Yarrowia lipolytica: one gene and its partner. The protein of the gene in region 1 purifies or fractionates together with the protein of each later gene. This does not show direct contact. Links are inferred from orthologs where the notes say so. Each region holds a gene or a part of one and is shown on either strand. Other genes may lie near its edges.

Region 1 (5,616 bases):
ACCGATTCCGCATCAAGAATTGGTAAGGGTATAGATTCATCTACAGCAGCTGATCCCATATGGCTATCAGATAAAATCGGTACCAGTCTATGTAAGGCTGCCCGTTAGAGCTGTTACAAGATGATGTTATGTTGAACTACATACACACTGGACGGTCTGTGAGTACAATGGAAGGTGCAAGTTCTCAATTACATTCTCCGAGTTTGAAATACAACATATTTCTTGTTTTCTGGTCCATATCGCTCGTGCAGACGCAAAGCAATGGTTCAACGGTTAGCCAGCTAATGCAGGCTGTCCACTGACGCACTCATACTTATTGTAAAGTATCAGTACGCTGGTATGCACTTGTGCAGTAGCTAGTGGGTGTGTACACTCTGCTAGTTCGGGTATGTTGGCCTGTAGTTCTTCCAAAGTCGGTTCAAATACGTACTGCGGTGTAATATATCACTCCATCTAGACTCCACCATCTTCTTCTAATCTAATCAATGCATCTATTATTAAATCCTCCACGAAGCCGCTATTTAACATCCACCTTATTAATCAAGTCTCCTCCGATTCGCTTGATCTCGCTAATAATACCCTCCTGGTCAAGAGTCACCTTGGAGCCATCGGGAACGGTGGCGTACTCCAAGTTGACACGGAACTTCCGGGGCTCCTTGGCCTCAGGGAGCCACATTCCGGCAATAACTCCAGAATCCATGGCCAGAACGTCCGAGAAGAAGAGACAGGCTCCAGCATAGGTGTTGGAGATTTCATCGTAGAACCGACGCGCCTCGTTGCAAGAGTTGGCAACCACTCCGTCGTCATTAGGGAAGGTTCCCTTGACAATGGCCTGCAGATTCTTATACTTCGAGGTCTTCTTGGGCACCTGGTCCTTTCGCAGCTTGATGGTAAAGTCGTAGGGAGCCAGAGAGGTGCTGAAGAGCGACTCAAACTGCCCGTCGGTATCGATTACCTGCTTGGCAGCCTTGGCCAGCGCTGTGAGACGACCAGAAAGCATGATTCCGGCCCCCTCGTGCTTGGGAGCAGACCACAGAGCTCCGTCCTCGACCTTGGTTCGGGTGGTGGCCACAAATAAAGGCACTCGAAGAGCAGGGTCCAGGTGACGATGTTTGGCGAAGGCAGCGGTCATCTGCGCATGCACAGCAGAGTCGGTGGTGGTTCCAGTCACGTCCGAAAGATTTTCCTGCACAGCCAGTTCTCGGGAAGGATCGGGATGCACCTCCACATCGAGCAGTAGAGGGTTCTCCTTCCAGTTCCAACGCGCCAGGAACGCAATGACTCGGTTGAAGGCACACGAGATGCTCTGAGGAGGCACGTAGGGTGCCGAAGACACGAAGGGCTGCAGAGCAATGAGCTCCCACAGCTCCTGGGGGAAGGCGGCAGTCATAAAGTGGGCGTCCAGCCAGGCCTTTACCAGTCGCACGGTGGCTCCGTACAGAGGATATCGGGTGGTCATGGTGGTTATGAGCCGGGTGTGGTTAGGGGCGTCATTGAACTGTCGGAAGGCGAGGTGTCGAAGAGCAGCGTTGGCGTTATCTTTGACGAAATGTTTGACCAGCAGTTCGTCAGTCTCGGTGATAATGTGCAGTCTGAATCCGAATCCCTCCGGCGTCAGAACAAGAGCAAACGCTTGCTTGTCGTTGAAACCAACAATGACTCGATATCCCTGGTCTGCCAGCTTCTTTCGCATATCCAGCAAAAAGGCCAGCTTGGTCTTCTCCATAGCCTCAATCTCTTCGGGCCATCGAGACGAGCTCTCAAACTGGACAATTGCGTCGCAGAAAAAGTCGCCGTTGAGCTCGAAGGGCAGAGCAGGCGACACATCGGTCGACCGAAGAGCCGAAGAGGCGGGAAGAATGTTCTTGACCACCAGAGGCAGCTCGATTCGATTGACGGCAGCAGTGAGATTGACAAGAGCCTCGGAGATGAGCTTGGAATGGGCGTCGGTCACCTCCGTGATCATGGTCTGGTAGTTGTCGGAAGACAGGTACAGATCAGCCAGACACGAGGGAGACACATGGTTCTCCAGCACAAACCGAATGATCTGAGAAGTCACGAGTCCTCGACCGTTCCACACGGTGGTCTCCTTAATAGAGCCGTCAGCGAACCGTCGAAGCTCGGCCTTGTCGCCCCAGAAATCTCGGAAAGCTTCACAGGCCTCGGCATCGTCGTTGGCGGGTCCATGAGTGACAGTTCTGTTGCAGTCGGCAGTGAAAAGCAATCCCACAGACACCTCGCCAGTGGTGGAGGTCTCGAACTTGGCATCAATGTCCCAGGCTTGGCCAGTCTCCATGGAGACAGACACACAGGCGACTCGGTCATCCAGACCCTGTTTCAGAACAGCGTAGACATTGTTGGCGAAGAAGTTGCCAAATGACGAGAACTGCACTTTTTTGGATCCAGTGAAAGGATGGCCCTCAATCTCAGTCACGGGGACACGCACAACCTCGTCGAAATACAGCTTGGGCTCGGCAATGTATCGCAGGAACAGGAGTCCAAATCGGTCCACCGTAGTGTCGCTCAGGAGATCAAAGGAAACTCGAGACTCGTGCTTGATGAGATCATATGCCCAGGGCTGGACCTTGGCGATGATGTTCAGACCAGTATCAGAGTCCAGAACACAGGGCAGTCTGGTATCATTGTCTTCAAAGTGAGCGTCGTTGCTGAGCTCAAGGGCTGAAGAGTAAGTCCAGGTCTGCCGGGTCAGATCCTCAATGGCCAGGAACCGTACCACTCCCTTAAACAGCTGGTATGATGAGTATCCGGCATGCAGCTGCTGCTTGGATCTCAGCAGAGCAGCCATGAGCATTCCAAACTCCATGGCTCCAAAACCTCCCTGGCCCACAGCTCCAGAGAAGCCTCTCTGCCTGAGCCACAGGCTTCCCAGACGCCAGGCAGCCACAAAGGCAGGCACGATCTTGGCGGTCTTCTTCAGGAAGCCGAGGTATCGGGTTGTGGTCATGTCTGCAAGGATAGCAGAGTTGTAAAGGGGGGTGGGGGGTTCTTCTCCGTCCTTGGATCGCAGACAATTTCGGCCAGGGGCCAGTTTCTTGGTGTCAAAGACATCCTCTTCGATGACGGGAAGAATTCGAATGTAGAAGGGCGACTTAGGGCCGAAATCGGTATCGCTTTTGTTGATTCCTCGAAGCACAACCACAGGCCGAATATCGTCATCCAGAGTCTCGTAAGACACGCTGCAGTCGAGCTCCTTTTTCAGAGCAGCAGCCAGAACAGTCAGATAAAAGGCCCTTTTGTGAAGGTACCGGTTGTTGAGGAAGTCCTTTTCCTGAAACAATTCTCGAGGCATAGTGACGGAAACATCCACAGCCACACGCTCCTTTCCAGGCAGTCGGTTGACACTACCCAGAGCAAAAGATCCCACCACATTCACATCTGAAGGCTTGGCAAAAGCAAATTTGTACTGAGTCTTGTCACTGGGTCGGTTCCAGGGGATCTCCACCTGCTGGGAAGAAGCCCACTTGCTAGCTCTGGACACATCGAAGGGACCAGCCTTGGGGATCTCGGCGATGATCGAATGGACCCGATGGAGCATTTTGCCAATTCGCTTGGTGTGTTTCTCATCCACGTCCAGCTCCTTTAGCAGCTCGTCAATCTGCATCTTGAAGATGTTACTCTTGAAGAGTTCAGCAGCCTCCTTTGCAGCCTTGATTTCCGCTGCAGAAAGCTGCAATTTGGCCTTCTTTTTCGACACTCGGCCTGGTTTCTCCTCGTGTTCATTGTCCGAGATCTCCTCCTCCTTGTCCGAGAACTTGTCTTCGTCTGAGTCGTCATCAGCCCCGGAATCGTCTTCGGAATCGTCCTCTGAGTCGTCGTCTTCGCTCTCCAGGTCGGCGAGAGAGGTGATTTCGGGCTTGGCCTCGGATTTCACCTTTTTACTCTGGCTCTCATGCTGAGAAGCCTTGGATAGAGGTCGCTTGACTCCCATGATTGTGTTGTGTAGTATGCGTTTGAAAATAATCCATATCATGCATGAAATAATTTTTATAAGGTTCGGGTTAGGGAGTAAGCCCAAGACTTGAAACGTGACGGGCTGAGATTGATCTTGCAATGGAGAGGCAACGAAGCGACGAGACGGAATTTCTTTGGGGCTCTTGGTGTGCTTAGTCAGTATACTGGTCTCATTTTCTCACTTTTCATACACACACACACACACACACACACACACACACACACAAGAAAAGACACTGACACGTCTCGAACTGGGGATGTCCCCATACAGAGTTTAAACAATTCTTTCCACTAAATAGTTCCATACTTAGTCCACACAGTTGAAGACATGGAACTCTATTTGTGGGTCCCCTCATATCACTCAAGGAGACATTTAGGAGACAGTTAAAAGTGTTCCATACAAGTAATAGCTATCAATGTATATATTTGTCTCTGTTTTATCCCGTCTGTATTTCCCCCTCTTCACCCCACCTCTTGTTACTACAACCACCATCGTTTGCCACCCCAGTTTAACTTCAGCCCACATCACATCAATCAACCCACATAGAGTCAAGACATGACACCAAAACCTCCTCCAACAAAACACAACTCAGCACAACACACCACCACAACCATGAAGCTACATACAGTCACGTCTCTGGGGGAGTTTGACAAGGTGCTCAAGTCCGAGCTAGTCATTGTCGATTTCTTCGCAGAATGGTGCGGACCCTGCAAGGTGATTTCACCCTTTGTCGAGACCCTCCAGTCCGACTACAACCAGGTGCTATTTGCAAAGGTCGACGTGGATCAGGGCAAGGACATTGCTGCCAAGTACACCGTGTCTTCCATGCCCACTTTTGTGTACTTCCACAAGGGCAAGGAGGTCAATCGGGTCGTTGGAGCTGACAGAGCCGGAATTACTACTGGTCTGGATCAGTTGGTTTCCCTGAACCCTGCAGCCGTCAAGTCCCTTCCTGGAGCAGGAGGCGCCGACTCTGAGGATGCTGGCTCCACTGTCAACTCGACTGACAACTCTGCCATCGCAGCTTTTGTGCCCAAGAACATGGAGATTCTCAACTCTGGTATTGACTTCACCTCGACCGAGGCTCTCAACATTGCAAACAACGGCGACGTGCGAAACGTGCTGACCAACGGGCTGTCGGGCGATCAGGAGTTTGTCTCCGATACAGACTCGCAGATGCTGCTCAACGTGCAGCTGCAGAACAACGCCAAGATCCAGACGATTCTGCTCAAGAAGCCCGCCGTCAGTGGTGACAACCAGATCCCCTCGCATATCAAGGTGTGGGCCAACCATCCCAACCTGTCGTTCGACGACACCCAGTCGATCGAGGCCCAGCATGTCGGAGATGTGGTTTTTGATGGTGAGTGGGCCGAGATCAAGCTCAGATACGTGCGGTTCCAGAACGTGTCGACCATCTCCATGCTCATTGAGGGAGAGGACGAGGACGAGTGCACTAATTTGGATAGAGTGGTGCTCATTGGATCAAGCGGCGAGGCTCGAAGCGGAAAGCTCGAGAAGATGCAGGATTAGGCGGCATGGTGAATGGGTTTGAACCAGTTAATGTATATCGAGTATGTGCGACCCAAGCACATTGGTTAATGACATCGTAGATGTATCGTAGATGATTGTATGGTGTTGGTGTA
Region 2 (3,053 bases), on another chromosome or scaffold:
AGGTTATTGGCAAGGAGTCTCGAGCCATGGACGGTGCTTCTGCCATTTGCTACGAAGAGTTTTCTAACGCCATGCTGGTGATCCCCACCACCCTGGCCGAGAATGCCGGTCTCAACCCGGTCAACGTTGTGACCGAGCTGCGAGTTCGACACGAAAAGGGCGAGGTCAACGCCGGCATTTCGGTGAGACGAGGAACGTCCATTATGGTGGAGGAGCATGTCATTCAGCCCGCATTGGTTACCACCTCGGCCATCACTCTGGCCGCCGAGTGTGCCAAGGGTCTGCTCAGAATTGACGATATCGCCTTTTCCAGATAAATATAGAGGGTATTTAGAGTATGGTATGATTGTTATGAGAGAGGACTACGACCGGAGAAATTGGTTCGCGTAGGTACTACTGTAGTTAGCTACGAGCAACATGTCCTTGTAGTCCGTAGACACAAGTAGTATCGTATTTAGTGTGTATTGGTACAGCCACTAACGGTGCAAGTACAGTTTGTACTGTAGTGGTGTGTTCTTATTATATAATGCTATTGGATATATGCTGTTTATTCCTCCTCCTCCAGTGTCTGGCCCTCCTTTTCCAGTCTCCAGATTGGTAGACCAACTGTCTTAGGGCTCTTGATGTAAATAGTTTTGGTTGATCGAGCTCCCCCGTCCACGAGGTTGTCGACGATGTTGTTTGCCACTCGATGCGAGTTCTCCTCGATCTCCTTGGCGGTATTGTCTGGCAGGTATCCGACGAGGGCAGTCAGATTAACAGCGCCCTGCTCGCATGCCATTGATCTGGGGAGAGTCACCGACGTGGATCGAAGCAAACCTCGCACCTGTGCCTTGACGTAGTCCGGATCGGCAAACATGTTTGCGTCTCTTGCATCGTCTTCTTTTCCAGGTTGGATGAATCTGATGGGGAACGGCTTAGTCAGATGTCTCAGAGAAATCTTCTTGGACAGTCTATCATAACACTCCACGACCTCCTCGTGGATTCGGGAGTCGGCGACAATCAGATCGAAGTCCTTTCCGACAGACAAGGGGTCCTTTCGCAATTTAGGTCGAAACTTCTTGACCGAAATGATATCAGCAAATGTGTCTTTGGTGCTAGCTTCGTCAGCCTGGAAGATCTCTGCATATTTGGCGGTAGGGTGTGGCACTATGAGCAGTATTTTCGCCTGGGATATCGACTTGTGGATCTTGTGGTGCAGAGGAATGACATAGGGGACTGAAATGTTGTTCATACCTCGCTGCCCGGGAACTCTGACATTGGTTTTGGATGTTGTGGTGACGGTGAGGTGGACGGGAATTCGCTGGTTGGGGTCCTCGGTTAGCTCCTGTTTGGCGGACTTGAACAGTGCCTTAATGGCTGGCTTTTGCGTGAGTTTCATCTTGTCGCTGGTGGTCTGGATTTTTTTGTCATCTTTCGAAAATATTCGAGACCTGCATGTGAGCTGTATGGGTTAGGGGTTGCTAGGGGTAAACTAGTTGAGCTCCTGTCAACTAACTTTAGTTGGCTTTACTTGTGACAACATTGGTATGGTAGGAAGGTTCGGCATGTTATGATGGCCAAGTTGAGGTCATATAGCAGATGATGGAGGACACGGCAATCGTTGCCACAGACAGAATGTTTCATGGAATCACGGCCTATCCGAGCAAATACGACTACAACTACGAGTACTCGCACACGCACCACACGAACAACGCGACACAGCGAGCACTATACACACACCAATCTTCGCCACCAGTCATGAGTTCCCTCGTCCTGACATCGACCGCCTCCAACTTTGTTTGATTGTGGCGTACAACATATCACGGTAAAATAGAGTATGGAAGCAGCCAAGATGTAGCAAACCTGCTGTCCACGTGAGCCACGGGAGATATAATGGTAGCTGGATAGTGTCTGACACTCTCATCTTCCTATACCACTGTCTGCTTTTCAAGCCCACCGCACACAGAGATACAGTACACGTAAAGCCATACAACATCGCGTATAGGCATAGACCAACGGAGGCTACACACAAGAGCACCCCCAGACACTCCCAACAACAAGGTTTTGAGGGGAGTTACCCGGAAAAGTTTTCATCTACAACACTCCTTCCCATCTGCCCAAGGTCGATATTACCCGGTCTCGTTTCGCGAAACGCGGTTTTTGGACAGATACAGGAAAACGCAAAACAGTGTACGCGACGAGCACCACGTGATACAACGCCAGACGCCGCCAGACCACAACGTGACACTCACATCCACACAGCCACCTACACACAAGATGCCCAAGGAGGGTAAGCCCGCGCAGGAAGGCGCACAGGCGCTGCTGGATCTCCAAGACGAAGGCAAGGATCCTCGCAATGTCAAGGATGACAAAAAGACGAGCGATGGCAACAATACCAAGGACGACGTGGGCGAGGAGACCGTCGAGGGCGCTCTGATGCATCTGGTGCGATTCACTCAGGACGAGGAGAAACGCGAAAAGGAGAAGCCCGGTGTTGGTGTCGGTAACAACGGAGGAGCTCCTGCAGGCCAGCAACAACAGCAGCAGCAACAGCAGCAGCAGCAGTACGAAGACATTGCTCATTATGGGGAATTTCTCAACGACAATTCTGACACGCCATGGAACCAGAACCTGTTTTCGGAGCAGTTTGCCGTCGCAGCTGCCACTGCTGCCGGCGAGGGAGACTTCCAGGAAAAATTCAACAAGGAATTCAGCAAGGAGTTCAACAAGGAGTTCAGCAAGGACGAGTTCAACGAGATGGTGGCTGCTGCCGCTGTCGAGATTGGATCTGGAGGCGCTCCCCAGCCTGGCGCAGGTACAGAATCAGACGCACAGGCTCACGGACGGAAACGAAAACGTCAAAAGACGTCGCTCAACCCCAAACAGGACCTGAACGTGGATCCTGTGCTCGAGGGACTCGGAGAGGCCGTCAAGGGAGGAGACAATCTGCTCCTGATGGACGATTTCCGACGAACAGCAGGAGTTCCAGGTCACCCCCACGACCACCCTGTCACGTCACGCGACTACATCATGCCTCCCGAGTCTATGGTCGCGATGCGAAACACCAGCAA

Evidence for each region. The genes of interacting proteins can lie anywhere in the genome.
Region 2: the proteins of YALI1_E37387g (region 1) and YALI1_F27132g purify together in Saccharomyces cerevisiae (affinity purification with mass spectrometry, with the first as the bait; 4 studies listed by BioGRID). This does not show direct contact. The link is inferred for Yarrowia lipolytica from reciprocal best matches to the Saccharomyces cerevisiae genes UTP22 and UTP30.

What each region holds. Positions count from the first base shown.
Region 1 is NC_090774.1:3,734,701-3,740,316, forward strand, and holds YALI1_E37387g (uncharacterized protein), read right to left. Parts: upstream 3,992-5,616; coding exon 518-3,991; downstream 1-517. Other genes in the region: YALI1_E37392g (uncharacterized protein), read left to right, coding at 4,529-5,503. UniProt on the Saccharomyces cerevisiae protein: Involved in nucleolar processing of pre-18S ribosomal RNA and ribosome assembly.
Region 2 is NC_090775.1:2,711,884-2,714,936, forward strand, and holds YALI1_F27132g (uncharacterized protein), read right to left. Parts: upstream 1,382-3,053; coding exon 548-1,381; downstream 1-547. Other genes in the region: YALI1_F27101g (uncharacterized protein), read left to right, coding at 1-317; YALI1_F27141g (uncharacterized protein), read left to right, coding at 2,260-3,053. UniProt on the Saccharomyces cerevisiae protein: Involved in rRNA-processing and ribosome biosynthesis.